Linked DNA regions of Mus musculus: all the other regions are reported to be linked to region 3. The links are microRNA targets in miRTarBase. Many come from high-throughput screens and were not tested one by one. Region 3 holds a microRNA gene; each other region holds the end of a gene's coding sequence. Distances are from middle to middle.

The links. Region 3 holds the annotated microRNA mmu-miR-694 (CUGAAAAUGUUGCCUGAAG, at 4,313-4,331, shown strand). A microRNA usually pairs through its seed, bases 2 to 8, with sites in the 3' UTR of a target mRNA and lowers its output. Matches are read on the target gene's strand: a 7mer-m8 pairs with bases 2 to 8, a 7mer-A1 pairs with bases 2 to 7 and ends in A, and an 8mer does both.
Region 1: the mRNA of Riok3 is a reported target of mmu-miR-694. Seed matches in the 3' UTR shown: 7mer-m8 at 1,762-1,768 and 7mer-A1 at 3,000-3,006.
Region 2: miRTarBase lists Atp2b1 as a target of mmu-miR-694. Seed matches in the 3' UTR shown: 7mer-m8 at 6,331-6,337 and 7mer-m8 at 4,129-4,135.
Region 4: the mRNA of Pafah1b2 is a reported target of mmu-miR-694. Seed matches in the 3' UTR shown: 8mer at 2,184-2,191, 7mer-A1 at 2,456-2,462, 7mer-A1 at 3,323-3,329 and 8mer at 4,344-4,351.

Annotation. Positions count from the first base shown.
Region 1 is chr18:12,153,833-12,162,138 of GRCm38, forward strand. It overlaps Riok3 (RIO kinase 3), which reads left to right. Exons shown (of 13, transcript NM_024182.4): 12 at 81-188; 13 at 1,388-3,535. The coding sequence ends at 1,495. Among named protein-coding and RNA genes, the nearest start is that of Rmc1, 11 kb to the right of the region's middle.
Region 2 is chr10:99,021,686-99,029,991 of GRCm38, reverse strand. It overlaps Atp2b1 (ATPase, Ca++ transporting, plasma membrane 1), which reads right to left. Exons shown (of 21, transcript NM_026482.2): 21 at 3,849-7,184. The coding sequence ends at 6,873. Among named protein-coding and RNA genes, the nearest start is that of Poc1b, 81 kb to the left of the region's middle.
Region 3 is chr18:66,215,301-66,223,606 of GRCm38, reverse strand. Mir694 (microRNA 694) reads left to right here and starts at 4,274; the gene lies at 4,274-4,343. The region is part of intron 2 of Ccbe1 (collagen and calcium binding EGF domains 1); the gene reads left to right.
Region 4 is chr9:45,961,872-45,969,985 of GRCm38, reverse strand. It overlaps Pafah1b2 (platelet-activating factor acetylhydrolase, isoform 1b, subunit 2), which reads left to right. Exons shown (of 6, transcript NM_008775.3): 6 at 1,020-4,675. The coding sequence ends at 1,298. Among named protein-coding and RNA genes, the nearest start is that of Sidt2, 11 kb to the right of the region's middle.

The sequences.
Region 1 (8,306 bases), 54 Mb from region 3:
GTGGAGTTGCCTGGTGCCTTGTGCATGCTGGTCTGTGGGAACTTTGCCCGTGTCTCTGATGGCTTGCATGCCGTTGCTAGTTCTTCCAGAAAGGAGGAGTAACGGAAGCCCTCAATGAACGGGAGCTGTTCAATGCTGTTTCTGGCCTGAACATCTCGGCAGACAATGAAGCTGATTTCTTAGCTGAGGTGAGTGGTGCACAGCTCTCTGTCCTGTCGCTGCTGCAGGGGAGCTGCCCGGAGCTCAGGTCTCACCTCACACCCTCCAGCTTCTCTACACACACCGAAATGCTTGTTCACAGAGGTGACACTTTGCTTTAAATGAGTAATAGAAGACTCCCAGCACTCAGGAGGCAGAGACAGGCAGATCTTTGAGTTTTAGGGCAGCATGAGTCTACATGGTGTGTTCCCTGGCAGGGGTCTAAGAAGAAAGGATGGGTCATAACACATTCTCGCTTAGCTTTAGTTCTCCAGTCTGAAGAATGAGGAAGTTGACTGAGGAACACTCTGGGTGATGTCGCAACAGGAACTCACAGAACCCACCTGCCCTTGGCTGAAGGTAGAAAGCTAGAAGTAGCCACAAACAGAGATAGTCCTTCATCGTAGTACTGAGCTGCGGGAACAAAGGCAGAAAGCCAGATCCTTCAGAGATCTCGTATTACCTCAGGATTGGGCAAAAGCTAAAACGTAAAAGCAACAGCTGGCTGTGGTGGCACACATTTAATCCTAGAGGTGGATGGAGCTCTGTGAGCTTGAGGCCAGCCTGATCTACATAGAGAGTTGCAGGCCATCCAGGTCTACATAGAGAAAGGATGTCATTTAAGAAAGACATTTCCCCAGTGTTTTACCCACACTGCAGAGAGTAGTTAGCGTCTATTCTGAAATTCTCATGTGAACCTTGAGCTTGGCCAAGCTCTGGGGGAGCCTAAGAGCAGGCAGGAAGTGCAGAGAGCTGTGGCTCAGTCAGGTGGGATGGACACTGTGGCGGGGAGCTTTATGGAGGACATCACAAAACTGATGAGATTCTAGTATTGACCTTGGTAATATCATCAAGTGAAAGCAAATTATGCTCTTGCCTCTCTCTTGCCTCTTGCTCCCCCTCTCTTCCTGTTCCCTTTTCCCCTTTCTCTGCCTCTGCTATCTTCTTAACCACCTCCCTACCCCCATTCCCTAAATAAATCTATTTTATACTGAAAAGCAAAGAAAAGCAAACATGTATATGTGCACATCTGTCACATGCAAACAGAGTATGGGGAGAGGAAGGTGAGAGAGATTCTGATTCAAGGCCAGCATCATTAACCAGAGGTTAGAGAGGAAAAATGCCACTTTGGTCAGATATGTTCCTAAGAAGCCAAAATTTGACGAAGGGTTCCATGCTTGGTCTGTAGATAGAAGCTTTGGAGAAGATGAATGAAGATCACATTCAGAAGAACGGGAGGAAAGCAGCCTCGTTTCTGAAAGATGATGGAAGCCCACCTGTGCTGTCTGCCGACTAGTACAGCGGTGACGGACGGCAGCTGCCATAGCCAGCGAGTGGAGGTGACCTGACATACCAAAGCAGGAGTGGACAGTGCTGCTTCTGGGCTTCTCACTTGTGACCCACGTGCCAGATGTGTGCAATTTTTAACTCGGCATTGAAAGAATAAAATGTCACTACCTCTCATCTTACAAAAAGGATAATATAATTCTTTAACAGGTATAGATGTGTAGCCACAGGAGTCTGGATTTTATACAACTCATGATCTGAAGTGTCTAGATGAGGATTTTCACATAGGCAGTGTTTCCAAATGTGGGAGGTGGGGACTGAGGTGTTTGCAGGGGAGGCTCGATGGCTGCGCTCTGCTCCATTCCGCTCGCCTCCTGCTTTCCCTTGCGTCTTTGGGTGGATGTTGCTGTTTTAAATTAGCCCTTCCTAGCTGTTTGACCGTGAGCGTGGAGACCCCAGTGGGTACTAGAAATGGGCACTTGGCCTCAGTGGATGGTGGAAATGGACATAAGCATTTTATTGGTACACCGTAGATGTGTGGAATTCTACATTTCCGTCTCATAGCCAGGAGAGGTGACAGGTTTCTGAAAGATAAATATAAAAGGATTTCTTAACTACATTTTAAAACTTAACTTTCAGGTTTTCTTCATTAGGTTAAATGGTTGGTTATTTACATTTATAATGAGAATACAAAGTATCTGGAAGGGCAGAAGGTAAGAATGGGATCTGCTACATTTTAAGAAGGCAGTGAAACATTTCCGTTTACGTTTCCCCAAATTGTTCACATATTGATTGCTAATCATTTGGAGAGAACTAGAACAAAGTAAGTGGAGCTGTTCAGTAAGTGGAAGACACAGCCTGAACAGCTCAAGTACTGAATTGACCGGCTAACTCGGCTGTGGGCCTCTGCCAGCGTCACACTGGCTGGACTCGGCCTGAGAAGGTGAGCCTTGTTCTGAAGACCAGTGCTTGCTTGCTCTCACCTCATTACCCCAGTTCCGGGAGTTACATTGGATCCACTAACCAGCTTCACTTTCTGTCTGGTTATAAAGAGTAAATGTAATTTATAGTTGAAAAATTTTAACATTATTTTAAATTGCCAAATATGTTCTTTCTCGACTATTTATTTTTGTTTCTGTTCTACTGCTTTAATTGCATTTCAGAGGAGTGAATTTAGGTGGCTCATCCCACTTATGTTTGCTGCTCCACACAAAGATTTAAATGATGAGAAATTATTGGCTGGACACAAATTGCAGAAAAGTCATTAGAAACAATCATTTAAAACTTTGTTTGCTTTCTTCACATATTCTTTCTCAAACCATTGCTTGGAGTGTGCTATGAACTTGCCTTTCAAGAAATTAAAAATGAAGAGATCATTTTAGAATTGGTTCATTGTGTGGTTAATTCTTTGTCCTTATTTTAATGTCCTGGCACCAAGACACCCTTTCTATAGCAAAGTAAGCAGTGCAGTTTTGGTTTGTTTGTTTTGTTTGTTTGTTTGTTTGTTTGTTTGTTTTTCAAGGCAGGGTTTCTCTGTGTAGCCCTGGCTGCCCTGGAACTCACTTTGTAGACCAGGCTGGCCTCGAACTCAGAAATCCGCCTGCCTCTGCCTCCCGAGTGCTGGGATTAAAGGCGTGTGCCACTACGCCCAGCAGCAGTGCAGTTTTAAACACACACACACACAACTTTTGTTTTGAGTTTTACAGGTATCCCCCCCGAAACCCCTTTGTGAAGTCAGGACATTTTTCACATAGCTGGAGATACTAGTTTGATAAATAATCCAGTAAAGTATGTATATAATAGGAATACTTTGTCTTATTTTATTATTGACTGTAAAGATGTATGTATGTATGTATGTATGTATGTATGTTACCGAGCTGGAGAGATGACAGCAGTTAAGAGCACTGACTGCTCTTCCAGAGGTCCTGAGTCCAATTCCCAGCAACTACATGGTGGCTCACAAGCATCTGTAATAGGCTCTGATGCCCTCTTCTGGTGTGTCTGCAGACAGCTACAGTGTACTCACATAAAATAAGTAAATAAATCCTTTAAAAAAAATGTTACCAATGCAAGGGTGATTGGAGAGAATTTCTGTTTCTATAAGATAATTCATTACTAGTTTCCATGATATAAGAATGAGATGCCAGTATTTAGGAGGTAGAGGCAGACAGATCTCTGTAAGTTTGAGGCCAGCCTAGTATATATAATGAATTCCAGGTCAGCCAAGGGTATGTAGACTGTCTCCAAAACAATTACAGCAACAAAAAGTTGAAAGTTAAAACTCTGGATTATGCTTGCACACACCTTTAATCCTGGTAGAGGCATGGAGTGAGGCAGGAGGATTACTACAAGTTTGAGGCCAGCCTCAGATTCTGCCTAAAAAAAAAAAAACAAAATGGATGGACAAAGCAGACTGAAAAAATCAGGCAGCTGATGGGGAGATGTTAAGTAAGGCTGACTCCCTTAGAAGATAGAAACTGTAGTAGTTTGGATGTGACACCCCCCCACCCCGACATCCCAGGCATGCTTGCATGCTTGGTCCCCAATTGGTGGGACTGTTTGGGAAGGATTAGGAGGTGTGGCCATGTTGGAGAAGGTGTGTCACTAGAGGTAGGCTTGGCAGACTGACCATCAGAAGGGAATCCTGCCTGCACATTAAAGTCCCAAGCATTGGTAACACTTGAGAAATACTGGAGATGTCATTCATCTGATTATAGTTTCAAGCCTGAGTTTATGGAGGTATATATTTTTCTATTCGACTTTTGTAGGATCTACATTAAAATTTACTAAGTATTCGAGGTTTGGGGCTGATGAGATGGCTCAGTTGTTAAAGGCTCTTGCCACCAAGTTCATGATCTGAGTTTGATCTCTAGTAGGATTCACCTGGCAGAGTGAGAAAAGACTTTCATGAGAAACAAATTGGCCAGATGGATTAGTCATCCAAAGGCTGACTGGGACTGAAGAGTCTACTTTCAAAGTGGTCTCATTTATCTATGGGAGAGAAAGTTTCACCCATGCTGTCTCAGAGTGATGGGACTCGACATGAACAGGAGGAAAGTACAGCTATTTATTGAATACATACTTTACACAGCACAGAGACTGAAGTTAAACTCTGGATTGTCCTTGCACATACCTTTAATCCTGGCAGATTTTCTCTGAAAACGAAAGATATTCTGAGTTGTTGGACAAAGGCCACTGTGGTGATCTAGAGCAGAATGGCCCGCAAAGGCTCAAGTTTGAATATTCGGCCCACAGTCTGGGAAGGATTAGGTGGTGTGGCCTTGGAGGAGGTGTGCCACTGTGGGTTGGCTTGGGGCTGGGTGTAAAGCTCTCAGCTACTGCTCCAGCATCATGCCTCTGCTTCCTGCCATGATGATCATGGACTAATCCTCTAAGCAAGCTCCCAATTAAATGGTTCCTCTTCTGCGTTGCCTAGGTCATTGTCTCTTTACAGTAACCAAGACAGCCATTGAGTCTGTGAGGAAAAGGAGATTAGGCAAGAAGTTCAGTCATGGCCACATGACTAGGAAGAGAAAGGGTAGTTCAACAGATTTCTTTCAGCTGTGGTTCAGGAAGGATGCCCTCTCCCCCATGCTGGGGGTTCATCTCTCTTTTAGGAAGGTTGCAAGTGTTTCTTGCAGCTGTTGTTAAGCAGCTTTCTCAGAACGCCAGGATAGGTGGTGAAAGACCCACAACGTGAGGACTCCCCCACGTTCTGACTCAGGAGAGGCGACACCCCAAAATCACCCACAAGAAACGGGTCTTGCTGCAAATTGCAAGAGGATTTTTATTTAAGAGCGCTCTCGGGCCCATGGTCATACACCACGCAGGGGTAGAGGACCGTGGCGCTCCGAGTAGCTGGATAAGGGGGTATTTAAAGGAAGAAACCGAAACTCAAGGAAGTGGGGAGGGCGTTGTTGGAAGATACCAAAGATACCAGTTAAGAGTCACAAGGAAGTGTAAAGTTACAAGAGTCACAAGGAATACCTGGTAATTGTTAACTCTCAAGACAGCTTCTAAGAGCCCCTAACAATAGCACATTTGCATTGCAGGTTCTGGGTGACTTTCTTTGAATGAGCACTCTTTGAACCCAGGAAACGGGTGGGTAGAGGAATGTCGCTATCTCTTTTATGATTAGCATACCTTTACAAAGGCCACATTCCCAAGCCTGGGCCTAAAGGCCTAGAATTCTGTTTTTACATTGTTATACTTTCAGTGGCATATTTGAGAGTGGCATGCTTTGTGCCCTTTGAGTTGATGGCTGGATCAGCTGAGAGCTACCTGCCAGCTATGGGCAGGAGGCTCAGTCTTTGGAAGGAATGTGAGAAGCTACACTCATAGTCTCAACCACATGACTGCCCAAACGTGAGCTGAACAGACACAATAGATGTGTTGACATGGACCGGGCAGATGCTTTATCACTGATGAAGTTCCCAGAAAGAGGCTGCACCTTCCACTGTCCCCATCCAGTTAGTGACAACCGATGAACTGGATGGAATGTCTGTGACTGTGCAGAGGTCACGATGCTGCAGACCCAGAGCCTACTTAAACAGCCCATCTTTAGCCCCCTAAGTAGCCATTCCTCACCACTTCAGGGTCAGACCTAGCATCCTGTGACTGACATAACTCCTTTTGGAATGTACTGCTTCAACAAAACCTTACCTTCTACCAAAACCTAAGGATGGCATCAGCTAGCATCTGAGGCTCATAGAAGGGGTGTCTTCTCTGTCCCTTTAATCTATCTACCTACCTAATGTTTCCACCAGTGTATTTTTAAAGTGTCTTAATTCATGATTTTCTTTTGTTATCGATACAAAACTGCAATGAGACTGATTGCACATTAGTACATGAATCTGAGGTAGGCTACTACAAGAGCCGGTCGAACTCCTTCTCCCTGTTTCCCACCTATCATCCAAAAATGCGGAGGAATATCAACTTAGTGTTATTTTCACATTGTTCAGTCAAACTTAGCCTGAGTTCCAACGCCCTACTTAAAATTCAACTAAAAAGTTACCTACCAAGTACTAATTAGCATTATAAAGTCAGAGTCTGCAGCTCCAGGCCTTTCAGTTAGTTGTTTACTAGAAAGGACAGTCTTAAGCCAGATACAGTTTACCATAAGAAAAGTTAAAGAATCCCAGTGAAGCAAGTTTTTTCTTTAGCCCTAGATTCCAGGCAGAACTATTGAGCATAGATAATTTTTCCCCCCTCAGGCCAGCTTTTTCTTTTTTTTAAATTTTGTTAATAAAAGGGAGGAGATGTAGTCTCCCCTCCCCCAGCCTGAAACCTGCTTGCTCGGGGTGGAGCTTCCTGCTCATTCGTTCTGCCACGCCCACTGCTGGAACCTGAGGAGCCACACACGTGCACCTTTCTACTGGACCCGAGATTATTCGGCGGGAATCGGGTCCCCTCCCCCTTCCTTCATAACTAGTGTCCCAACAATAAAATTTGAGCTTTGATCAAAATAAATTTGTCTTAGCTCCGTTTCTTCTTTCGCCCCGTCTAGATTCCTCTCTTACAGCTCGAGTAGCCTTCTCAGTCAAACCGTTCATGTTGCGGAGCTGCTATCGGCCGCAACAGGCTACAACTGTGTTCCTGGGCCATGCTTACCCCTTTGGTTCCAGAGGAAACTGTCTCATCCCTTTGAAGTTAAGAGTTTTCATCTTTTTTAAATGAATGTCACTTACACTCTGGAATTGCATTTTATCATGTACTATACTGTTGGTTCATGGGTCAGCCTTGTGCAACTTAGAAGTCCCTGCTCCCCAGGACTGCCAAGGTCATAAGTCTCAGAAAGTACAGAAAGCCTTGGATGCTGGCTACCCTGGTAACTGTGATAATGCAGCTACCACTCCTTCATTCTCCTCATCCTGATCTGTCTTTCCAGAGGATTTATTCCTTTTAAATCCATTGTCCTCATATGTTAACACGCACACATTACCTGGCATGAGGCAGTTGTTACCCAATATATTCATTGCTATTTCCAGCATCATGATAGTACTTGACATACTCAACTATACTGCAGATGCATGAAGGCTTGATTATAACTGTGTGACTCAAAGGCTTTTACAAAAAGGAAATGCACCAGGGGAGATATGACAGAGAATCAACTTTTGTTCTTACTAACTGTCCCAGAAGAGAAAACAAGAGCACAACGTGAGTTCTCTGTAAATATAGGGGCTGGAGGGCTTTCAGGTGAGTTTGTTATAGACAAGCACAAAAGGTTGTCTTTGTGGACATTTTGACTTCCTTTACCTTCATCCTGTCAAGAGGCTCTGCTGGGTTCAAAAATTACTTTTCTTTTTTACAAAGGTTTAATGTTATTATTTTTATTTATGTGTTTGCCACAATTAGTGCAGAAGCCAGAGGCAGCTGACCCCCTACGGCTATATTTACAAGCAGCTGTGAGTCACCCAGTATAGGTGCTGGGACTTGAACTGGGTTCCTCAAAAGAGCAAGTACCCTTCTGTTGCTTTGACCCCCAGGAATTAATTTAGCATACAGTAGCTGAATAGGAAGAAGGCATACAAATTTATATGTGTTTTACATGGCACAGGAGTGTGAAAGGAAATGAAGTCCCTAAAAGGCAATTAAGAATTTGTTACTGGGCTTGACAGATGGCTCAGTGATTGAGAGGTGCCGAGTTCAAAAAGCTAGAGAGATGGCTAAGTGGTTAAGAACACTGGCTGCTCTTCCAGAGGCCCAGAGTTCAATTCCCAGCACCCTCATGATGCTCACAACCATCTGTAATGGGAGCTGATGTTCTCTTATGGCATGCATGTTGGTATACATGCAGGTAGAGCATATATGTAAAATATATT
Region 2 (8,306 bases), not on the chromosome of region 3:
GGCCGACAGCAAAATGCTAAGACAGAATAACGCAGAATGGATCCTGGTCAGGCAAACGAGGGCTTGGATTCTGGCGTGACGGGACATATAAAGACTTGCAATACATGCAATGGGGAATGGACCTGAGGATAATAAAAGGTTGGCTTGAGTGTCAGTCAGGAAACAAGGAGACCAGTGCACTCCCATCTCTATCAAGACTATGAGTGTACCGTAAAGTTAGGAAGAGGTATGAAGTTGAAGGCAGTTCAGGCTCAGCAAGGTGGCAAAGCCTCCCAGGCCTCTAGGTCAATGACAGAATAGGCTGAGGGAGCCATCTCCACTACATGGCAAAGATGAAGTCAACAAAGGTTAGTAGGCAAAGATGAGAGATGGCGGTCATGCCATAGATAAATACGACCAGAGGTGCAAAGGGTGTTTTTAAGAAGCCAAAAAGGCAGTTAGGAGGATACCCTATGACTTCAGAGTTAAGAGTGGCCATCTTTTGTTTCCATAATGAAAAATAGCAAATAGAATAGTCACTGTCATCCAAAGAGAAAACATCCACACAGGATGAAGCAAATGGGAAAAGACGTGAGATGCTTATAAACCAGCCTGGTGCCAACTGGATGGGGAGGGCAAGTGTGAATGAACAAAAATAAGAAAAATGGGCCTATGCAGATCTTTCCAAGGGGACGATAAAGAGACAGAGAAGGCCAAACTGAATAGAGTGGATGTTATTCATTAGCCTAGTTCTCACCAGGGTTGAACTTCAGTGGTTGCCCACTATCTATCTATCCAAGCGTTTGTTCGCTCCTTTGAGACAGGATTTCACTGTGTAGCCTTTAGCTGGCCTGGAACTCACTCTGTAATCTAGGCAGGCCCGGAACTCACAGAGACCTGCCTGCTTCAGCCTTTCAAGTGCTGGGATTACAGGGTCACACCACCATTGCCTGGCTCTATTCAAGCTTGTAGAAAACTCTCCCACTGGCCTAGCCCATTCCAGCTACACTGAGCATTCCCTTTTGGCCCTCTAACTTGGCAAGCACCAACCTACTAGAGCCTGTATGAAAGGTACTTCCTGATAACATAGCAGGTGGTTCCCCGGGTCCAGTTACTCACCTGTGAGGGTGTCTGTGAACACACTATGGAATACAGATTCACCCACCCAGCCCCCTTGCCCTGCACCTCCCAATCTGATCCTGTTTCTTAGGGTCAGAGAGGCAGGAATTCCTCCTCATAGGTACCGAGTATTTGTTGAATGCGAATGCCAGCGGAGCAGGAGATTTGAACAACAAACCCATCAAAGCAGTTAGCAGCTCATTTAGCAGGAAGGAAGGCAGGGACCAATGCCCAGACAATGATCTAAGATGACATGGCAGGATCCGACACCTTAGAATCAGATCGGCTCTACTGTTTGACGGCCCTTGCCCCTACTGCACTTCAGAAATGGAGAAGAATTACTTCCCTCAATTCTACAGCAGGAAAACAAACCATCAGCGACCCTTGGCCTCACAGGGGGTTCACCTCGGAGCAGACTTATGAAAAGGATCCGAACCTGAATTTTGAATGTCACACACTTCAGGTCTTAGTGGCCACTTCTTCTCCCTCTTCTCCCCCTCCAGCTATTCATTAAGACATGCTGCCTCAGACTAAAGACTAGTGATTTCCAAAGCGTCTTATTGAGAGAAAGACTTTTAGTATAGTTTACCTCAATGAAGATACCGTAATGACCACGGACGTCAGCTAGCGGCGTCTCGTTTTTACAAACCAAAGGGACGGAGCATTCACAAACTGCATGGCTGCAGATGATACTAAGACTGAGGCCATCAGAAAGGGTTGTGACCCACTTAGACTTGACTCACTGAAATCTGATGTGCAAGTGTCTGTCGCGTGAGCTGAATATTAACGCATTAAGAGTTTTTATCAAGGAAGATACTGTTGCTACACAAAATATCTCACTAAAATAAACTCAAGGGGGTTGAGGGGTAGATGGGATCTCAAATATAGCTAGGAAAATTTCAAAGGGTACATAAGGAAGAGCAAAAGAAGCGTGAGGCGTGTCTAAGTAGTGTATTCATTCTGTAGTTACAGTTTTTCTTCTTTACAGAGACAAGAGTACTCGTCGTATTAAAGTGATAAACTCTCATCCCACATGATTAATAAAAGTGCTGACCTTTAATGCTACCTATGGAACTTCAAAACCACCCAGCTCAGAACTTCTAACTGAAGTATGTGACGAACGTCTCTGTCCTAGCTTCCTCTGACCTGTGAGGAGAGCTTGGGCTACTTACATCTTAGGCAGTGCCACTCTGCCTCAGTCTTTGAGCTGTTGTTTAGAAGTTATCTCGGAAGCCTCCGTTATCAGAAAAGAGCAGCAGCAAGGATGGCAGCACCAGGCTTATGCATTGGAGGTTTTTTGTTTTTTTTTTTTTTTGGATACTTGTTTGACTTAAGTGCTAGCAGCTGGGGTTCTTCAATGCCGTCTCAGTGTGAAGCTGACTTCTACCATGTGTTCCCAAGCTTTTTAAGCCTCAGTTTTCCCATAAGTACAATGGAAGTTCACAGGGTTATTATTGACATAATCCATATAAAATGTTTGGCATACCGAAAATTACTTCGTAATTCCTAGTTTATGGGCCAAAACCCCATTGCTAACATTGTGGGGGGGGAACCCCCGGAAACTATATGACCTTTAACCTTTGATTTAAATTAAGAGAAGCTTAGTTTTGAGCTGAACCCAAATCCAGAAATGCACAGTGCTTTTTCATAGGGCAGTGTTGCTTAAGGAAACTGTGCCGGGCACCAACACCGTATAAACACACACATTAACTATAAGCCCCTATTTTGGAGCCATGAATGTACTGTTCAATAATGACAATTCAAACTCAGAGAAAACAGAGTGACTCAGCCTGCTTGTACTGTATCTGACTATAAGATTTAAAAAAAAATTTTTTTTAAAGAACAAATATGAAAAGTGGAAAAGAAATCATTCTCATGGCAAAAGTATATAGGATTAAGGGTTTATAAGAAAAAGCTACCACTTTGTTGATAAATTATTTGGATGAAAGTAATTTTCTTATTGACACCTAACCAAGAGAAGAGTCTAGCAATACAGATACTCATATATGTGTAAGAATAATTGAAAAAGGATGGTGCTCTGCACTTCAGGCAGGGCTCGAGAGCAGCCCAGGTTAGTGACTGAAAGGTTCAAGAAACCAAGGTTTCTAAAGGTAAGCAGGGAAAATGCCAAGAAACAAAGGCTAAAGAAAGTGCCGCTTCTTATTTAGTTTAACTTTACAAATAGGACATATTAAAAACTCAATTTTGACAGTTAATACATATAGAAGTTCCCAATCTGACAAGATGAAAAGTACCCTTCCTGTTGTATGATTCAACCATTTAATAGTTTATTCTATCAAAATACGGTATCCAGAATTACCTTGCTGGTTCGGCATTGGTCTGTGAATTTATGACAATCATTGACTATGGAAACCACTGAAGTGTAAGTTTCACTGCTATTATTTTTCCATCAGAGTTAAGACAATTGCTATTAAAAAGTTCAGATTGTTTAATAAAGTGTTCTTAACAAGTTCTACACTAAACTAAACCGCTGCCCTCCCTGGCCTGCAGAATGGACGCTGTGGCTGAGGGCTGACACTCTAGCAGCTGGGGTACTACACCCCCTTCCCTTAGAGAGGGGAAACCAGGCAACTGCATGAGAACACGGAGTCCCCGTACCCATCCTAACATTCCAAGTATTTTATAGACTCTGCATTACGTAGGTTAAAAGCAAAAATCTCAGGTAGGAAAAAAGGAATGCCAAAATATGGTGTTCAGATCATCCCAAGGGTCAAAAAGTTCAGTCCCCATTCAGAAACAGATAAACAGTATATTTATTAAATGAGTTAAGACAAATAAACTTTACAAATAGACAAATAATAAAAGGCTCAGTGGCTAAAAGAGATGGTAAGCATCATTAAAAGAAATCAACACCATCACGGTAGTATCCCAGTTGGCTTACACGTGGAAATGAAAGTTTCAAAGAGCAATTTCACAGAAATGAAGCCAGGTGGTTTTTTTTGTTGTTTTGTTTTTTTTTCTCTTATAAACAAATCACCATTTTCTTGGTTCAAAACTGATAATCTGTTATGAAAATTACCATATCACATATTTGTAAGATGACAAGACGTAACTCATCCTCAGAGTGTGACAACTATTTACAACCACGGAAAGGCAATGATGGGGAGAAAAGGGAGTCTAAAAAATATACAAAGATTAAAAACATTTGGGATGCAAAATTAAACAAGTTTTTTTTTTCTTTCTGATTTTGGTTAGAGAATAAAAGAGAAAAATGTGAATTACAGATGTTGATTTAGGTATACACACTATAGAATGGGATCCAAGATCTTTAACAGCTTGCTTGTATTTTTTTTTTTTTTTCCTACTTACATAATGCTGTGGACATTTCTGGTAGAAATTACAGTGTCTCAAAGAGAGAAACGCACACCGAGCGTGTTTTGCTATTATGACTTCACGGATGTCCTAAGACCCACTTATGGATTTAGAGGTGGGGTAAAAAGCCATTGCCTTGAGTTTTGGAAAAAAAAAAAAAAAACCGGAAAAGCTAGACACAAACCCTCCAGAGCACATGCAGGTCTCATTCTCTTGGTAATTACATTCATATTTAAGCATAACCAAAATAAAAAAGAAAGCTGAGAACATTTCCCTTTCTCTATTCCCTATGCCTCACAGGCTTCTTCAGTGGATAGGGTCAATTCTTAGAGTTGAAAGGGTTCTTCAAGAGGAGTCCCCCACCCTCCGTCAGGGTGAGTCACTGCCCCAAGATCATGCAGCACGTTAATGGCAAATTCAAGACGAGGAGTCCACCTTGGGCTCCTGGTCTAAATATGCGTCCCAGCATATCATGCTACCTCTTTTTACAGTATGAATAACTACAAACACCTGATGAGTAAAAATGTACAGTGATCGATGGGACAGAGCCGATGTGTTTCTAAGACTTGCAGAGAGTTACTGCAGGCAACTGATGGGGAGAAAAAGATTCCTCCCACCCGCCCAAAAAAAAAATATATATATATATCAAGCACCATCAACTAGATGTTTCTTTGCTAGGTCAGCATTCTTGGATGTAGTAGTCCTCGTAAACTTTAGGTCAGCCTGAGGATTGTTTAACTGGCGAGATCTGCGCCCTGAAACAATACCACTTTCTAAAAGGTCAAGACGAGAGGCAGACAAAGGAAGAAGGTAGACAGAAAAGAAGCAGAGAGCCTGGAAATTCAATTGTCTCAGAGATGAGCATAGAGTTCGGCATAGAGTTGGTTATTACAGAGATCGTGTTTAGCCGCTTCCTCAAATCTTCATGCGCCATCCCTTTAATCTAATCTGTGACTGGGACACTTAATAAAAAACAAATACATCAGACAACTGTGGTCATTACTTCGTATAAAATGGCGAGACTACTTTACTTTAGATAAAAGTAGATTCTATGAAGGGTGTGCTAGGTGGCAAAACTGCTGTCTCAGCTCGACTCCATGGGGTGACCAAGAAAGGATTCAAACAGCCCTTCCTGAGGCTGCCACCAGCTTGAAATTTATTCTAGTTGTGGTTAGAGGAGACAGGCCAATGCGGCACACGTAGAGAACCAAGGAGCTGAGCTGTCTGAAGAACCATTGCTGTGTATTTATTTAATAAAAGGGCATATTTATTTATGTTTACAAACAAGTTTCAAAAACAAAAGGAAACGATGTATGCCTCTCTCTATTAACCTTTCTCAAAATGCCAACAGCCCCCTCTATGCTGTGTGAAGGTCTCTACGCAGTTATTAGAAAAATCAATGCAGTCACTCACAGTTCACTAAGACATCACTGAACTAACATATTTAGACAAAAACAAAAAAAAAAAAAGACTAAAGGTTTCTCTTGTACTTTGATAGTTTAATTTGATTGGCCTGAAATAACAAAGGCATTTCAAGCATCTTTCATTGTGTATTTGATGTCCCGCAATAAACAATCTACTAAATTCTGAACAAAAGGTTATTAGCAAGTTTTCAAAAAATTTAAAAATTAAACAGTTCTTTCAAAACCATTAAGTAGTAAATGTATTTAAGAAACTAATTAGGACAGATGCCATAACTTCATTAGAACACCACTGCTCATGGTTTTTGTTGTTTTTTTTTTTGTCTTGTTTTCTTTTTTCTTTTTTGTTTTTTAAACAAAGCATTAGTGTTATCTATTTGGCTATTAGTATTAGCAATTTATCTACATATGTAACAAGATAAATTGTAGGCAAAAATTTAGTACAGTTTCAATAGAAACACCCCCCCCTTTTTTTTCCTGAAAATACAGCAGTATTTGAAGGACTAATTTTTCTCTGCATTACTATAAGGAAGCTTCCCGTCTATGAAGAACAAAAAAAGTATCTACAAACCTTGTAAACAGATCTGTATCATTTATAAACATAAATAATCCAAATTATTAACAGCCAACAGCAGAAATTAAAGTATTCACTCAATGATCCAGGGCTCTCTGTCTCACCCAGCGTCACTCCTCCCTCCCTCCCATCAAGAACTGAGATAAACCACAGCTCTGCTAGTCAGGACAACGTTAGGTACCACTGACGACCCACAGGCCACTCCTGCCGAGTCACCGCTGTTCATCTGTCAGTTCGTTTCTCCCACACCCCAAAAAAGCACCCTCAGTCTGGCAGAAAGCTTTGCTTTTGTTTTTTTTAAAAAAATAAATCTACATTCGTACAAGTGTGTCTTCTGTTGAAGTCCAGAGACAAGAATACTATCTTGTCCGTCACAATATGTGAAAAGACTCAGTTTCGATTTGTTTCTTTACAATGCAGCTAGTGTGTTACCATTCATCTTACAATCAGAGTGATGTTTCCAAACTATGTAGTGGGCTTCCTGGGGATGAAGAGGTAGCAGACTTGTTCATTTCTATTGTAAGGTGAATTCCGCTGTCAACAGCATTGTTATTTTTGTTAGGAGAGGGCGGAGGGCTGGAGTTGCGTTTTGTTGGGGCGTCGTCTTCAGCATCAGTGTCATCAATAAGGGGGATGTGCGGCTCTGAATCTTCTATCCTAAACTCAGGGTGTGTCATAAAGTTGTGGATTGAACTTCTTGATTCTGGCTTCTCTAACCCTTCGTATAAAGAACTACGAAATGCATTCACCACTCGGATCTGTAAACAGCACAAAACACAGAGAGATGTCAGGACGCCAGGAACTTCGCCACAGTAATGGTTCACTTATGAGTTTGAATCCACAAACAGCTAGGTATGAGTGAATCGAATTTGCATGTAATGCAGTGGAACTTGCAATACACTGTAAAAAAATGAATATTTTAGTAGGACACTACAGAACAACGAAACCACGTACTCTAATCGAGAGGTACACGTTCAAAGAAAAACTAACAAAATCTCAATGTTACTGGCTACAAATTTAATAGCCATTTTGTAGGATTTTTTTTCCCTAAGAAGACAAAAACAAAAACAAAACAAAATGAGAACTTAGCCATACACAAGCTTACTTGAATTATATTTAAATAAAAAAGCACATATTTCTCAAAACAACTCAAGGTTAACAATGTCAAGCACAAAGGGGACTATTTATCATGCTAGGAATTAGGGTGTCACCAACTATGAACAAGCCAAGCAAATATAAGCTGAGTGCCACAATGAAGTCACATCTGCCCCACTCCTTCCTTAATTAAAATTGAAGACGAACCCGAATACATATCTATAAAATGCTACTAAACAGCTATAAATATTTGAGTATATGCCATTTTTCTATAAAAGTGTTAGTGTTTTGTTTTTCTGAATTAAAGATTATAACTTAATCACTATAGTTCTCTGGAAAGAACAGATTCCAAACACATACCTTCTGGGACTCTTTGAAAAAAAAATTCAAGGAAAAGACAACAAGTTTCAAAGTTTCCTTTCTAGCAACTATTTAGACTTATATGGCCTACAAATTTACCTCTCTTTTGGGGTGTATGCTGTATACAGGAAACTAGGTTAAAGTATAAAAATGTCACTGTAGTGCCAATAGTCAGGCCCAATAAACCGGTGTCATTCAAAATTTTTTCAGAGGATAAAATCAATTCTGCCGAGCACTTACATTAGTTAAAATATAAATATTTTATAACATAGAAATGTTCACCTTTGTTTCAGTAATTTTAAGAATGAAGGCACCGTTTATTTACTCATAAAGTTGAGACCTGATACCAACATTCTGGAAGGAAACAGTAATCAGTAAAATGATCTTAACAGGGAAATGATAGCTAAGGCATTGATTCCAATAGA
Region 3 (8,306 bases):
TATTAGGGACTGGTTGTCAGGCTTGGTAGCAGATACCTGAGCCATCTCACTCAGCAGTCTCTCCCTGAAAGGAAGACTTGTAGGCAATTTAAGAGGGCAGTGTCAGCCTTTGCTCTAACAGTATGGGAAGGCGGGTACTTCTGCTCTGCCTCCAGCTCCCTCACCTCCCCCTAACTTTCTCGTCCCTCTTTCCTCTCCCCCTTCCCTGCTACCCTCCTTCCCTGAGTCCTCAGCCTCCCAGTATTGCTTTTCCTGTTGCTTGCTTTGACAGCCTAGAGAGAACTTGATTTTGGCTCACAATTTAAGGAGGAATATAGGCCTTTATGGCAGGCAGGCAGGCACGGTGTCGGGGGAGGGCGCTCAGTGAGCAGAGAGCAGACAGGAAGTGGGCTGGTTACAAAAGCCTTACCTGGTGACTCACTTCCTCCAGTAAAACTCCTACCTCTTGAAGGAACAACAATCGCCAAACAGCGCCACCGGCTGGTAACTGAGTGTTTAAACACATGAGCCTCCCTTCACATTTGAACCACACTGAGTCCCTTCCCCCTCCGTGGCTCCCTCTCATGGTGAGGTTTATGGTGATGAGGATCAGGTCTGTAGACCTGCTGACCAGGTAGGGATGTCTGGCTTGCTGCTGTAATCTCCGTACCTGTGCATTAAAAGAATGGAGGGCCCTTCCCTTGAGTGACTAGGCCATGAAGCGTCTGCGAAAATAACTCCCGTCAAAGGTGAGGTTAGATAAATTCAACTGGGGCGATTTAAGGTCTCCTTTCCTTGTGAAAGTAAAGGGAGTTAAAAAAAAAATCTATGGCTTTAAAAACAAATCTAAAATTCATTTGGCACCATAAACCAGTGAGCATATGAAAGAAAATTCCAAATGAGAATTATGGTATGTAGATAGCCTGACCAGATAATAAAAAATTATAGCACTAGAATCACTTTTTCATTGTGTTGGCCCGAAGCACTTAAGAGGGACAGGATAAATTAGAGGAGGAACTTGAGGTCTGAGACGTCATTACGTGAGAAGGCAGGTGTCAGGGTTCTTTATGGAGCTTAGAGCAACTGGCTTTCAATTTGACAAGAGAGTCAGCACTCCTCCTCTCTGGGTAGTGCAGAGTTAGGAGTTGAGAAGAAGTCACATTTAGGATCTAGGTGCATATAAAATTAATGACACAGCCACCGTGATCTTGGAATTATTTCTTACTTTGCATTAATATTTTTAGGCTAATAAGAGAAAAGATTAATTTCTACATTTGATCTTAGCCAAAGGGCTGAGAAGCGATAGCTGAATTTCTAAATGCTTAAAAAAATCAGTATAAAACCTTAGCAGATGATCTGTAGTTATCGTTTTAAGAGTCCCCATAGAACACTGTACAGTTAATCATATGTCATATGATTCAAAGGGTAACAAATGCCTCTCCTTTATTCTCGCCATCATTATATACATAATTGTAAATTACAATTACACTGTGTAACTGTAATTGTGTAAAGTTTCTCTGTCTGGCCATCTACAATCTCAGCACTCAGGAGGCGGAGGCAGGAGGATCGTGAGTTCAAGGACAGCCAGGGCAGTATAGAGACTTAGTCTCAAAAAAAAAAAAAAAAGTAATCTGGAGTCTGGATATGTGGGAGACACACACTAATGAATCCTGAGAGCTTTGTTTAACCCATGCAGCAGAGACTCATCCACCTTTTAATGGCCTCCATGTTTAGTTTCAAAGACAGACTTCCGTGAGGAAAGTGTCTTGGATGTATGTAGCTGAAGGTTACCCTGCTAGTTTATTGCGAGCCATTTCTCTGGCTACAAGTCAAGATTTTATATCCCTAAGTTGCACACAAAGCGCCACAGATAGTTTTCTTTCATTGAAAATAGATTTTTCTCATGCAGTATGTTCTGATTATGGCTTTCCTTCTCTCTGCTTCTCTCCCCTCTTCCCTCTTTCTGTCTCTAGTTAGAAAACAAACAGGCTTCAGGGGATGATAATAATAAAATAATATGATAACATAAAAGAAAATCAAACAAATCAGAATAGGACAAAACAAACAAGCAGAAGGGAAAAAAGGTTCAAGAGGGCACAAGAGAGAGAGAGAGAGAGACAGAGAGACAGAGAGACAGAGAGACAGAGAGACAGAGAGAGATGCAGAGACCCACTTGTTTGCACATTCAGGAATCCCATTAAACAGGAAGATATATATGTATGTATATATGTGTATATATGTATAAAAGTTCTGTAGGGTAAAAAAATAAATAAGAAAAAAGCCTCCCATCTGGCATTATGAGAGTTGGAAACTCCAAAGCTGTACGTTTGAGTTCGTTTACTGTTAAGCGTCCGCTATCCATGAGAGAAGCTCGTTTCCCAAGAGCCTCCCTGAGAGAAAACCTAAATTCTCATTTACGAGTGGTTATCATTCGGAGGTATTTTCAGGGTTAGGGATGGTCATGGGTCTACTTCTCTTTTCAGCTTTAGTACCCCATCCGATGTGGATATGGAAGGACTGTGCGCCCTGTCTCAGTCTCTGAGTTGGTCCTGATGCACTTAAAAGACCGTGATTTACTGGTGTCCTCCATCCCTCCTGGTCTTCTATTCTTTCTGCCTCCTCATCCACAGGGTTCCCTGAACCCCGAGGGGAGGGATTTGATGGGGACAATCCAATTAGGAGGGAACATTCTAATCTCTCTCACTCCCTGCATACTGTCTGGCTGCGGGTCTCTCTTTGTTCCCATCTACAGCAGGAAGAAACATCTCTGTTGACAACTGAGCAAGACACTGATCTATGAATATAGCAGAATGCTGTTAGGACATTTTGTTGCTATGTTCCTATAGTGAACAGTAGTATTTTGTTTACCCCTAGGTCCCTGGGCTATCTAGTCTCCGGTTCTTGGGCACTTGAGCAGTGTCATGTATGGGTTCTATCACCTGGAATGAGCCTGGAGTCAAGTCAGATATTGTTAACATACTCCTGTAATCTTTGTGCCAGCGTTTCCCTACTGTATTTTGCAGGAAGGACATCATTGTGGGTCAAAGGGTCTGTAGTTGGGTTGGCATTCACACTTCTTTAGTAGTATGCAAAGTACCTGCTGGTACCAAGAATGGGAGGTCTTTCCATCTTCTGATACCGTAGTCAGTTTCCTACTTCAGGGTCTTAAAGTTTTTATCATCCAAGTCTTTCACTTACTTGGTTAGAATTACCCTCAAGATATTTTATATTTTTTGAGGCTATTGGGAAGGATGCTGTTCCTGATTTCTTTCTCAATCTGTTTGTCATTTGTGTATAGGAAAACAACTAACTTTGTGAGTTAATTTTGTATCTTGCTACTTTGCTAAGAGTGTTTATTAGCTATAGGAGTTTCCTGGTGGAAGTTTTAGTGTCACTGATAATGTAATATTCTATCATCTACAAATAAATATGTACTATATATTTAATTAGAATATATATTCATTTATATACTATTATATCATCTACAAATAAATATATACTATATATTTAATTATAATATATATTCATTTATATACTATTATATCATCTATAAATAATTATATACTATATATTTGGTTAGAATATATATTTATTTACTTATATACTATTAATATTAACTTCTTCTATTCTAATTTTTATCCCCCTAATCTCATCTTCAGTAGTTTTCTTGCTGTGGCTCAGACTTACAAGTACTATATTGAATATGTATGGGGAGAGTGAACGACGCTGTTTTCTTTCTGATTTTAGTAGAATTGCTTTGAGTTTCTCTCTGTTTAAGTTGGTGTTGTCTATGGGCTTGCTGCAAACTGCTTTTCTTATGTTCAGGTATATCCTGTGTCTCCCTGACCTCTCCAGGACGTTTACCATGAAGGCAAAACAACATAAAATTCACACGTAGTATAAGACATTTGACTCTAGTATTGAATTAGGTACAATTAGATCACCCCTTAGCGCTTCTGGATTTTTAAACTAGTTTTAAAAGATAAAATAGATTCTCGATTCATACTCTCGAATCTTTGTTTCAAAGAAGAGGCATAACTTACCAGTTAGTTTCCAGCATGTCTGATAATTCTACATAGTATGTGAGCTGCATGGTGAGCCTTGTATTCTGCTCGCCTGAGCTCACATCAGTTCAGAGGAGTCTGCAGGTGATGAGCACAAGTCTGACCCCAGGAATCTCCAAGTTAGGGTAATTGGTGTGAAAAGTGTTTCTGTGCATTCAGATGGAGAAACCTGAAAATTACAGCTGTTGTAAGGTAAGAGCTCCCGGCGGCAAAGCTGCCAACTGGGAGTCAAAGGCCAGCTCAGGCATCGCTTTCAACCCAAGACCAGGCTGAAAATGTTGCCTGAAGCAGTCTCTGCCTTCTGCTTTCATCACAAATACCCGACCCCCACTGCACCCCCTGCCCTGTGACCTGCTCCTGGCCAGACAAAGGCCAGCGGTAGCTCCCCAGTTGGAAATTGCATTCTCTCTCCATTTCAGTGCAATTGTGGGGCTCACATTTCCTGTCCTGGTTCTCTGAAGATGGCCTTTGGGTTAAGAAGGGAGTTTGAAGATAATGGCTTAGTCATGGGCTGGGCTTGTGGTCTCGGAAAGGTACCATGCTCAAAGCTGGTCTGCTGAGCAAAGAAACCCAGGCTAGACTGTGTGAGCATTTCCAATTTCCACTTGTCATCAAAGGAGCTAACCAATGCTCTACATTCTGCTGGAATGGGGGCGATATGCTTCATGCACCTAAGCCAACTTGGAATAGTTCTACCCCTCCCCCACCCCACCACCCCACCACCCCACCCCCAGTTCATGTGAGCCGTGATCCTGTCATGATTTGTACTGGCTTTAGTCAACCTTGTCATGTTGGAGTGGTGCAACAGTCCCCTACTTAAGCAGCTTAGTCTAATCTTTGGGAGGATTTTTTTTTTAAAGAATGATTTATTTATTTTTATTTTATGTATATTAGTATTTTGTGTGGTATGTGTGAGAATGTCAGATCCCCTGGAATCAGAGTTGTGATCTGCCATGTGGAAGCTGGGCATTGAATACTTGCCCTCTGGAAGAGCAGCCAGTGCTCTTAACCACTGAGCAATCTCTTCAGCCCCGGAAAGTTTCTGTTTTGTTTTTGCTTTTTTTTTTTTTTTTTTTTAATTGACAGCTGATACTTGGGCCCCAGCCCTAAAGAGTCAGATGAAATTGGTCTGGAGTAAAACATGAGAAACTCAATTTGTACTATCAAGGTTGGGGACCAGGGACTTCACAGCACCCTGTGAGACACACGTGATTATCAGTAGAATCCTTCCCACTTCACAGCTGAGAAAGCCAAAGCCTGGGGTGATCAGCAGACTTGCTCAGCATGGACATGATCAGTTAGTGGCATAGCTTGCCTGTGCAGATTCATTCTGGTGAGTGTTTATCACAGAGTGGGCATTATGGGAAATTCTTTGAATATTATATTAGGGGTCAATTTCTGGGGACTGTAACACATGCTTAGTCCTGGAAACGATCCCCCTCCTTAGAGAATCTCTTCTCTGTACCCAGATTTCTGGGGCTGTACGGAGTAAGTGGGCTTTGGAGCCAGGACTGAAGGGGTGGCCTTGGCCTTGAGCCCTGGACTTTTACCAGAGACGTGTCTAGCTGGGATGGCACTGCCTCCCTCCAGCCTGGAGACCTGCTTCCTTCCTGGGGAGGCGCATTCTCTGAGAAGAAAGGAAAGAGGCAGATTCTGAGTGTCCTGCTCTTCCTAGCTGCTCTTGAAGTTGATCCAACTTTCTGCATAGTTTAGATATCACGACTTAACATGACCTGTCTTACCTCAGTTTGTATCAGCCCTTTTTGGGGAGGGTCTCGTAAATCACGTGCCCTCTATTTTGCAAATCCTCCTCTGGCTCCCCCTTTTCATTTTCTCTTTGTGTTTTGACAACTTTTCTCTTAAAACAAATGTCTCCCCAAGTTGTCATCTCTTGGTCTCTTTCTCGGTTTTTTTTTTTTTCACCCAGGACTAAATGTTCTCACTTGTAACATCGCAGCAGCCTGGCTTGTTGGATCAAGCTGTCCACCCTCGGCACCTCTCTAGGGAGCCTTTACTCTCTCCCACTGGTCTTTAGCACATTGATTTAGGGGAGTGGTGGGAGGTGGGGAGAACTCTGGAACAAGCACCAGATGGGTGGAGGCCTGCGCGTGCTTCATAGGATCTGTGACTTGTTGGCAAAGCTGCCTTGCTTTGGCTTCTAGGGTGCTCGTAGATATTTCTCTGGCTACCTGCATGGTGATGGAGTGTGTACAAGATTTCTTTTGCAACTTACGTTGAGTGGAAGTCTCCTTGCTAAGTATCCCCTTTTATCCCTATACGTTTGCTTGCTATTTATCTTACAGTTACCTTTCCTCTTCTGCAAATATCAAACCCCCTACTTTGTACAGAGTTTCTGCTGTGAAGGAACACAAAACAGCTCCTTCAAGGATCTAGAGTTCTGACATTGATGGGGGTCTTTGGGAGGCAGGCATTTTATTTAACACCTGATTTCTACCATGAAAACTTGATATATTTAATGGAATTAAAGGAGACATTGAAAAAGTATCTTCTAAGTGTTGTACAGAGAAAGAAGAAAATAGTTTCTGGCCCGCTGCTCACTACTAATCTAGGAGACGTGAACTTGCAGTAGGGTGTAATGGCGGTGCATATGGGAAATGAAGAGGTTATCTTTTGTTCTGAGAGCTGCTCAGGAGAGGTTGGACACAGCAGAAGGCACTGGAAATGATCTTGGTATGATGAGTGGAATGTGAATGGACAGAGAAAGGAACTGAAGGTGGTATCCCAAGCAGGAATAAGCTCTGTGCTAGGAAACAAAACAGACTGTTGGATTCTGGCTTGGAATGAACTAGAAGTAAAGTCTTGAGAAGGGGGTCACTGAAACATGCTTTGCAGGCCATCGGGAGCTGTCATTTAAGTCATAGTGACTGATGCCATCTGAGATGTGGGTTTGCTTGTAAAAATAGTGGGCACACTGGAGGGACTGGCCAGGATGCCCAGCCACAGAGTCCAATCAAGCCATAAGCTTGGACTCCCAAGGATACAGTAGGAGGACGAGGGAAAGGTGTGAGAACTGGACAGAGGTATGGCATGCACATAACTGAATATATGAAGAGACAAAGGAAGGAGTGGACATCTCCGGGACATCTGCCTTAAACATCTAGATGCACCTTTCACTGAAAACTAGAATGTACTATGTAGAATGTTAAGAAGGTGCCAGGGAGTTCAGTAAGCTGAGACTTGGACATGTTCTTCTTCATGTCCTAATGCTAATTTTTATTTTATGTGTGAAGGTGTTTTGCATGCATGTGGGCATGTATGCATGTCTGTGTCTCGTGTGTGTGTGTGTGTGTGTGTGTGTGTGTGTGTGAGTGTGTGTGTGAGTGTGTGTATGTGTGTGTGTGTGTGTGTGTGTGTGTGTGTGAGTGTGTATGTGTGTGTGTGTGTGTGTGTGTGTGTGTGTGTGAGTATGTGTGTGTGTGTATGTGTGTGAGTGTGTGTATGTGTGTGTGTGTGTGTGTATGTGTGTGTGTGAGTGTGTGTGTGTATGTGTGTGAGTGTGTGTGTGTGTGTGTGTGTGTGTGTGTGTGAGTGTGTGTGTGAGTGTGTGTATGTGTGTGTGTGTGTGTGTGTGTGTGTGTGTGTGAGTGTGTGTATGTGTGTGTGTGTGTGTGTGTGTGTGTGTGTGTGTGTGTGTGTGTGTGTGTAGGTATAGTACTGGAGGCCAAAGGAGGACATGAATTACCTGGAACTGGAGTTACACAGTTATAGGTCAGTCTATGGGTGCTGAGAATCAAACCCGGGTCCTCTGAAAGAGTAGTCAGTGCTTTCAACCACTGAGCCACCTCTCCAGCATCATTCTAAAATAACCTGAGATGCATGGAGGTGGCTAATATCACCATGTCGTGCAGCAAGTTAACAGAAGCCAGGAGGTCAGTGTCTGCAGCTCAGCTTTAGAACTGTGACCAATGGGGCAAAGCCTGGAAGAGAAATGGGCTAGCGACCCCAGAAATGACAGCCATACCCTAAGGTGAAGGGCTGTTAGTGGCAGATCTTGAAATTCAGATTTCTCAGACTAAGAGGTGGGCAGCAAGCTGGAGGTGAGTGCAGGGATGCACTTATAAGCGTGCATCTGGATGAATTAACTTAAGACCGTGACAGGAATCTGAGTGAAACTGGCCCAGATGCTGGCAAATGTTCAGATGCAGCCAGTTGAAAGGGATCCTCCCAAATGAGCTGGGATTGGCCACTCAAATTGTTCGGGAAGACATCTATCTCTAATGGGCAACTGCTTTAAATTTGAAA
Region 4 (8,114 bases), not on the chromosome of region 3:
AATTCAGAAATCTGCCTGCCTCTGCCTCCCAAGTGCTGGGATTAAAGGCGTGTACCACCACGCCCAGCTGATACTTCTCTTTACCATAGTAGAAAGACAGCCATCTTATTTATCTGAAAATTGTATTAGATTGTTAATCTACCAGTTAAAATTAATTTAGGATAAATTAATTTATCTTACCAGGTGAGTAATTTATTTAATTCATGTGTTTCATTAAGACAGCTTTGCAGCTGTGATTCCACTTCACTCTCTCTCTCTTTTTTTATACTGTGAGACAGTTTCTCTGTGTAGTCTTGGCTGTCCTGGAACTAGCTCTGTAGATCAGTCTGTCCTTGAACATATAAGAGTTTGCTGCCTCTGGAGTGCTGGGATTATAGGCATGTGCCATACCAATGTCTCCAGTTCTCTTTCTTGTAATGTATTATAGTGTAATTTCTCTGGCATTGATAGGTGTATCTAAGCTACATTCTTCTGACAAGGCATATGGAGAAAGAATTGAAAGAGGACATACTGGTTTTGGGATGAATGGCAATAAGTTCCTGACCAGACTTTGTGTTACCATGGTGAAGAAGATGATGAAGGCTGTGGATGTGGCTCAGTTGATATAGTGCTTGCTTGGCATGCAGTGAAGCCCTGGGTTCCACCCTCAGTACCATAGAAACCAGATGTGATGATACATATCTATAATCCTTAGCATCTAGTGAGTGTGAGACCAGCCTAGGATTCATGAGACCTCGTTTCAGAAAACAAAAGTTGATTAGAGAAATATTTAGAATATAAATATTTAGTCATCCTGTAATAACTATGAAGTGTGAGATGAGAGACCTGGGATGTTGGAATGACAGTTGACATAACTGTGGACAAGAGAAGGTGATGCACTGCTTTAGAACAGGCTGACGAGACCCCAGGAGCATTGGTCTGCAGGTAGAAGTTCAGTGGAATTGGGAAGCTCAAGTCATAAGTAAGTAAAGAAAACCAAGTAACCCTTTCTGTTAATGCTCTTCTATGCTCTGCCCCAGGGTCTGTTACCTCGAGGTGAGAAGCCCAACCCTTTAAGACAAAAGAATGCCAAGGTGAACCAGCTTCTCAAGGTTTCCCTGCCGAAGCTTGCCAATGTGCAGCTCCTTGATATAGACGGGGGCTTCGTGCACTCGGACGGTGCCATCTCCTGCCACGACATGTTTGATTTTCTTCATCTCACAGGAGGGGGCTATGCAAAGATCTGCAAACCCCTCCATGAACTGATCATGCAGTTGCTGGAGGAAACACCGGAGGAGAAGCAGACCACCATTGCTTGACTGGCCCATCAGTGTTACAGCATCCCGCTTCCTCAGATCAGTTAGACCACTGGCACTACAGAATCCTTTCTTAAGGCACTTTGCATTGTACAATGTTCCTGGATGCTTGTATGTTTGAAGGGGAGGAGGGATTTAAATTGGTCCTGTATATAAAGGTTTTGTTTGAGAGGAGAAAAATTAGCCAAGGAAGATTCATTTGAAACCAGAAGGGGACTTTTTAGTTGTTTATGACACATTTGTAGAATTATCACTTTTCCCTAGGACAACATCAAGCAAGAGTACAATATGAAGATTCTTTTCTTGGCCCTTTTTTCTATGGATTATGTCATGTGTGATAATTATCACATCTACTTGGCTTTAAACTTATTTTTGGTCCAGTTTTAAGGTTCATAAGTTAGTATGTTGTGTTGTTTTGTTTGATTCATGTATCCTCAGTATTTTTATTAACACATAGCATCAGATTAAACATGCTTGTCACTCCAATATGGGAGATGCTATAGTTACAAGTGAGTTTGTTCCTCTCAATCTTAAGCAGTGAAAACAAGGTCTAGGGACTGTGGGATATTGTTTTTATTGCTGCTGATTATCATGTCTGTAATAGACCCGTGCATGCAGCCTTCCCTCTGCCTCCCCCTCATCTCCTCACAGGTGGGTTATTTACATTACAAACTTTTAACTCATTTTTGATCTAGGACATGCACTGCCGTCAGGACGGTCTTACTGATGGATAACTCATTCTGTGTGGTGTTCTGTGATGTAGGGTCTGTGTAATGTTCATCATCCAGAGTTCTGCTTGTCATCCCCTCCCCCCCCAACCTGTTGTTTTTCTTTGTTTTGGGTGTAGGGGTGGTCAGAATTGTTTCCCATTCCATAATGCCTGATGTTATTTTCAAGTTTTATATTATCTTAAGGTGTATATGTTTGTTTTCGTTTTATATATATTATATATAAATAGATCTATTTTACAGTACTGGAATCAAACCCAGGACCTAGCACATACTAAGCAAGTACTCTGCCACTGTTTGCTTGCTTGCTTGTTTTTTTTAATTCTTAAATTCTGTCAGCAAAAAAAAAGTTTTTTTTCCATGGGAAACAGGGAAGCTGCTCTCACAATAGATGTACTATCCTTATCATTTTTTTTCCTTTTTTGTTTTTGTTTTTCAAGACAGGGTTTCTCTGTATAGTCCTGACTGGCCTGAAGCTCTGTAAATCAGGCTGGCCTTCAATTTAGAGATCACTTGTCTCTGCCTCCCAAGCGCTGGAATTAAAGGCGTGCGCCACCACACCTGCTTTAGCTTTGCTATCTTTATTCTACCATTTTAATAAAGGTAAACTAAGTTCCTGTTTTGGTCTTTGAGACAGGGTCTCATAGTGTAGCTCTGCCTAGCCTGGAATTTACATTGTAGGCCAGGCTAGTGTTGAACTCACAGAGATCTGCCTGCCTCTGGACTCCTGAAGACTGACAGTAAAGGCATGCATGTATTACCATGGAGGTAGCTCATTGATCTTTTAAGGTTCCTCATATAATTTAATGTCTTTATCAAGATTTTAAGAGAGCTCTTTACATTCCTACTGGTTTGCTTGAGCTATACAAACTGCCACTTGAGAGAACAATAGATTATTGGTCATCCAATATGCCTATGGACCCGTATAAACTGGATCTACAAACATTTTAACTGGACCAGGTTGGGGATTGAAGTAATTCATTAAATGTGCTCTGCAAAGATTTTGCTTAATGGTTACATTCGGTAGCTATGATCTAGGTTTTTATGTTCTGCCTTCAGAGCAGCCATCAGGGCTGGTAGAGGAGCTATTGTTGGTTTGTGCTGAGACCTGCACCTGACTGAGAAAGATAGAAGTTGAGGTGGTTTTTTCCTGGTGAGCATCTGTGTAGGAATTTAAGGCATAGTGTTATGAATGTATCATGTCTTCATTAGCAACAGGAAAATATACACGGTGTTTACTAAAATTGTTTACTACAGTAAAATTCCCTTTTATTTTTTTAGTAGTCCAAGTTCTTGAGTTTTTCAAGACAGATTGTTTTCTGAACCGAGCTATCATTTTAGGAAGGAGAGTTAATTAAGCCAGAATTTTGTGTGTAAAAAGAGCATTTTTTACCCAGGTGTTTGTGTGTTCCTCGGAGAGTGGGAGTATGGTCCAAGTGAATCCATTCGGTCACTCCCGTAGCATGCCCTTGTAGTTTCTCTTGACCAAGGATGAACTAGTCCTGTGAGCTGGCCGTCAGCTCCTGCATATGTGTATAAACCTCAGATGTTACTACGTTTTATACCTACCAGAGCTCTTCAAGCAATAGTATTTGAACCACTAGCCTTTTAAATAAAACTCTGTCCTATTGCTAACATGCAGATATGGAGTCCACTGTCATTTCTTGCCAGGTTTATTTGTGCTGGTTTAGGGGTAAAATTGTTAAAATTGTTGGTCAGTTTTTCTTTGGTTGACATCCCAGATTGCTTCAGTGACAAACTGGTTAGTCTTTGTGTGTTTTTAAAGACGTGAACAGAACTACTTTGCCATTGGCTAAGGGCCTGGCAGCCAGCAGAGACACTGCTTTGTTTTGGTTTTTTGGTAGGTGGGGTGGTGATGTTCTTAGGCAGAGTCTACAGTACCCTGGCTGTCCTTGAACTTTGGTGATCCTCCTGTCTCTGTCTCTCCAGTACTGGAATTACAGGCCTATTTCACCATGCTTGACTTATTCTGTTCCTTTCCCAACATTTTTCTTCTCTTGAGACAGGGTCTCAGTGTAGTACAGTCTGTCTTACCATGAGCTGTGGATGCCCTTGAACTCGGTCCTTCTGCGCCATGTCTCTACTGTAGCAGGTTGGAGATGCCCTGGCATTGTAGATTACCATTGGCAGTGCTCTGGCCACCATGTCAGGTCTGCTAGGATTGTTGAGGACTTCTATCCAATCCTGATACTTCTGTCAAAAACCTCACCCAGCAAAATAAGTCTTGACTAGCTAGCTCATGGCCAGTTCTTTAAAGAATTATAATTCATTGTTTTAAAAAGTCCCAATTTCTGTTTGCATTTTCAATTTAATCACTTAACAGTTGTATGCTGTGTCTGAAACCTGTCTGTGCTAAGGTGTGTGAATATTGCCAGTTTTCTATTTATTACAGTGATGAAGAAACTAGAAACTTAGGAAAGGGGAGCACAGCCAGCTCCTGACTCTGAGCAGCTTGTGTGGGAACAATGAGTGGGGGCTTGCCAGTGAGCTTCCTCTCCGGGACCACTGCAGCAGGCTGACTGAACCTCCCCAAGGGAGCTTGTGACTATGCTTTGGCAAAGGCTTCCTGACTAGAATCCATTCTGTCCAGTGCTCATTTAATATAAAAGTCAACATTTCACTGCAAACTTACTGATGTCTGTTTCTTTTATCATAGTTTAGATTCCAATGGAAAAAGCTGGGGCGGGTTTTCATACCTTATAAACATAATGGATTGTTTGTCGTCTTATGTCCTCTGGAACTGAATGTACCAAATTGACTCCATCACTTCTCACAGGGTAGGACACTAGGACGGGTGAGTAAAGTTATAAGTAACCCTGAGTAGATATAGGAGAGTGTTGTAGATTGGTCACAGTCTCCTTATGTGGCCCTGCCTGGCCTGGAACTCAGAGATCTAGTTGCTCCACCTTTCACATGCTGAGACTAAAGGTGTGCCCTACCATACCTGGCCTTAAAGATAAACCGTAAGCCAACCTTTTGACCCCCTTTTTTAAGTTCAGTGTTTCACATTTACTCACAGAATGGCCCATGTGGCATTTCTCCATTCTTCACACTAACAGTCACCGTCATTTTACTGCTTGGGACAGCACCTCCTGTTCCCCGCAGCTTGCACTCGGATGACTTACTTGGCTGGGTTCCTGTGCCTTCTAGGGAGAAATGCTTCAGGAGACCTCCCCAGGTGTTTTGTGTGAGTAGAGCCCAGAGAGCTATTGCTTAAGGAGCTTAGAAATCCAAGGCAGGCAGACCTACGTGTACAGAGAAAACAAACAAAAGAGATTCAGAAATTGAATATTACATTCTCTCCGAGGTCATCCTGACTTATATAGTTGCGCCCAGCTTTGAGCCAGCTCTCCCTGACTTCCTGCCCGTGTGCTACTCATTGCTCTAGATTCTGAGGATCTAGTTGCCTCAGGTGAGGGTGCTAGGATCGATGTGTCTTCTCTTCCTGGGTGAGGAAGCAGCTGTTTGGTCTTTCTGCTGCTAGTGTCTCCCTTTCAGTCCTAGCTTTTGTGTGGCCATAAAAATAGATTTACTTAAAGTGCACTGTCTGGTCATCTGACTTGCAACCTTCAATCAGCACTAAAATTAAAACATGGAACAAAATTTGTGCTGATATACCTAAGGGGTTTGGGAGACTACAGAGCTCTGTGTTAGCATGTCAGAAGAAGATACTACTTAGATAAATAAAGTTATAATCTAAAGAGAATGTGGAGGCTTACAACTAGTCAAATAGAATTCTCTGCATATCAAATCCTTTTAATACCCAACAAGATGATTTGTTTGTGATTTTTGGCATGTAGCTCAGGCTGGCTTGGAATCCCTTGTGTAGCTAAAGATGATCTGGAGCGAATCATCTGCTTCTATTTCCCAAGTGCTGAGGGTACAGTGTTTACCACCACACCTAGCCAGAAAGAAAGCTTTAAAGTAGGCAGTTTGTCTGCTTCCAATGACATTGGGGTGGAGATGGGGACATAATCACAGATGAAACCTCACATGAGGTCTTATTCAGACCTCTAGAAGCCATGACTGCGTCCTTTGGCATCCTTCATACGGGGAAGGCTAGAATTGTTTTGCAGATAGTTTAGTCTGAATGTGTGCTGTAGACTGTCTTATCAGAACTGAGTGAGTGTCATCAGTCCCAGTATGACACATGATGATGCCAGCATAGGATGTGAACCTTGGACGGAGCCTCATTGCCCATGTCTCCCAAGCGGAGGGACTAGACCAAGGTACTCGTCCTGATGACACAGCACGGCAGCAGTAGTTACAGCTGGAAGATATGGCTACAAATTTCTGTGGCATATTCCCTTAACCACTCTGCCATAGTCCTGCTGCATTAAAATGCAGGCTACAAATGTTTATAGAAATAATAATTCAGGATGGTTTTGTTTATGACACGTTAATGCAAAGTTCTTCTCCACCCAAGTTCCCACAGGCCTTACCTTTGTCAGTTGCCTAAGAGGCCCTCTTAGATTATTTTTAGATGAGGTCTCCTCCTGCTGGAATTACAGACTTGGACCACTTGCCTCTGCCTGATCACATTATGTAGCCATTCTGAATGAAAGATGTTTAGTGTTTAGCTGAACAATGTTTGTCTTTGATACAGTGTAATCCCACATAGGCCTCTGGCCTCATTTCCTGGCTCATTTAAACTTAGTTTATTTATAAACACAATTTTCTAAAACCAGGTTTTGCTATATAGCCCTGGCTGGGCTCACACTGATGACTTTGCCTCAGCCTCTTAGGTTCTGAGATTACAGGTCTGCACTACCATGCCTGGCTTACACAAAGACACTTAACACTGAGTCAACACACTAGTAAAGAATCAAATACAACAGCATGCTTGTCGGCAGCTCCTGGCTTACACGGTCAGCCTTCCCTTCCATACATAAGTACGGCTGTTCCAAGGTGAGACTACTCTCTGAAATATTGTTTCTGTCCCCTTAATTGGTTAGTCCTTCCATCTTTTATCCCAATAGGGACCCGTGGAGTGTTTGCTGATTCTTCCATTTCTAGCTCCAGTCTGTCTTACTGCTCATGTCTATGTTCTCATAATGTCCTCCATAAACTTTTTTTAAAAATAGTATTTTTTGTTTGTTTATTTTTAAAACTACATATATTTTTGAGTGTGCACACATGCCACAGTAACCCAAGGCAGCCTTTAGGAGTTGGTTCTCTTACCATGTGGGTTCTAGTTATGGGACTCAGTTCTTTAGGCTCTGCAAATTGCCTTGATCTGCTGAGCCATCTTCCAGGCCTACATAAATAGTGAAGGTGCTTTAAGGCTCTCTCTGTTCCTAGCACAGTTTAGGGACAAGTACAGGCCAGGCACTGAATAAATAAAATAATGAATGAATGGGGCTGGCCGTGGTGGTGCACGCCTTTAATCCCAGCACTTGGGAGGCAGAGGCAGGCGGATTTCTGAGTTCGAGGCCAGCCTGGTCTACAAAGTGAGTTCCAGGACAGCCAGGGCTACACAGAGAAACCCTGTCTTGAAAAACAAAAACAACAAAAAAAAAAAAAAAAAAAAAAAAAAAATAGAAGAGGCTAGACTGGTTTGGAGATAATAGGAATGAGGAAATCACCTGGAAGACTTGAGGCCAGTTCGGTAAGAGAAGGTGTAAGAGGTAAGCCAGTGTATAACTAAGAAAAGGGCAATAGGACTGTAGAGTTGTTTGTAATCTAGGATGTGCCAGAGACGGGCAAAGCTCTTAGCAGCATCCTGACTCAGTAGCTCAGGGCTCAGGCTTTTCTGCAGGTGAAGATCTGGTCTCTTGGCAGTGATCCTTAGAGGCACAGATTTGAACTGATCTATTATTTATCCACTTGTGCACTGCAACCTGATGCCCAGGCAACCTTTCCTGGAAAGCTCTTTCGGTTCTGTCACATGGCCAGAGGGAAGCAGATACAGGGACTGAGTGACTCAGTATGAATGTTGAAGCTTAGGGAACAGAAAGTAACATCTTCCTCTTGCAGAAAACCCTGCCCATTGCTCAGAGCAATTCTCTCTCATTTCCCTTGCCAATTTTTAAAAATTCTTCCCCTTGCTCACCCCACCCTTATACTCACC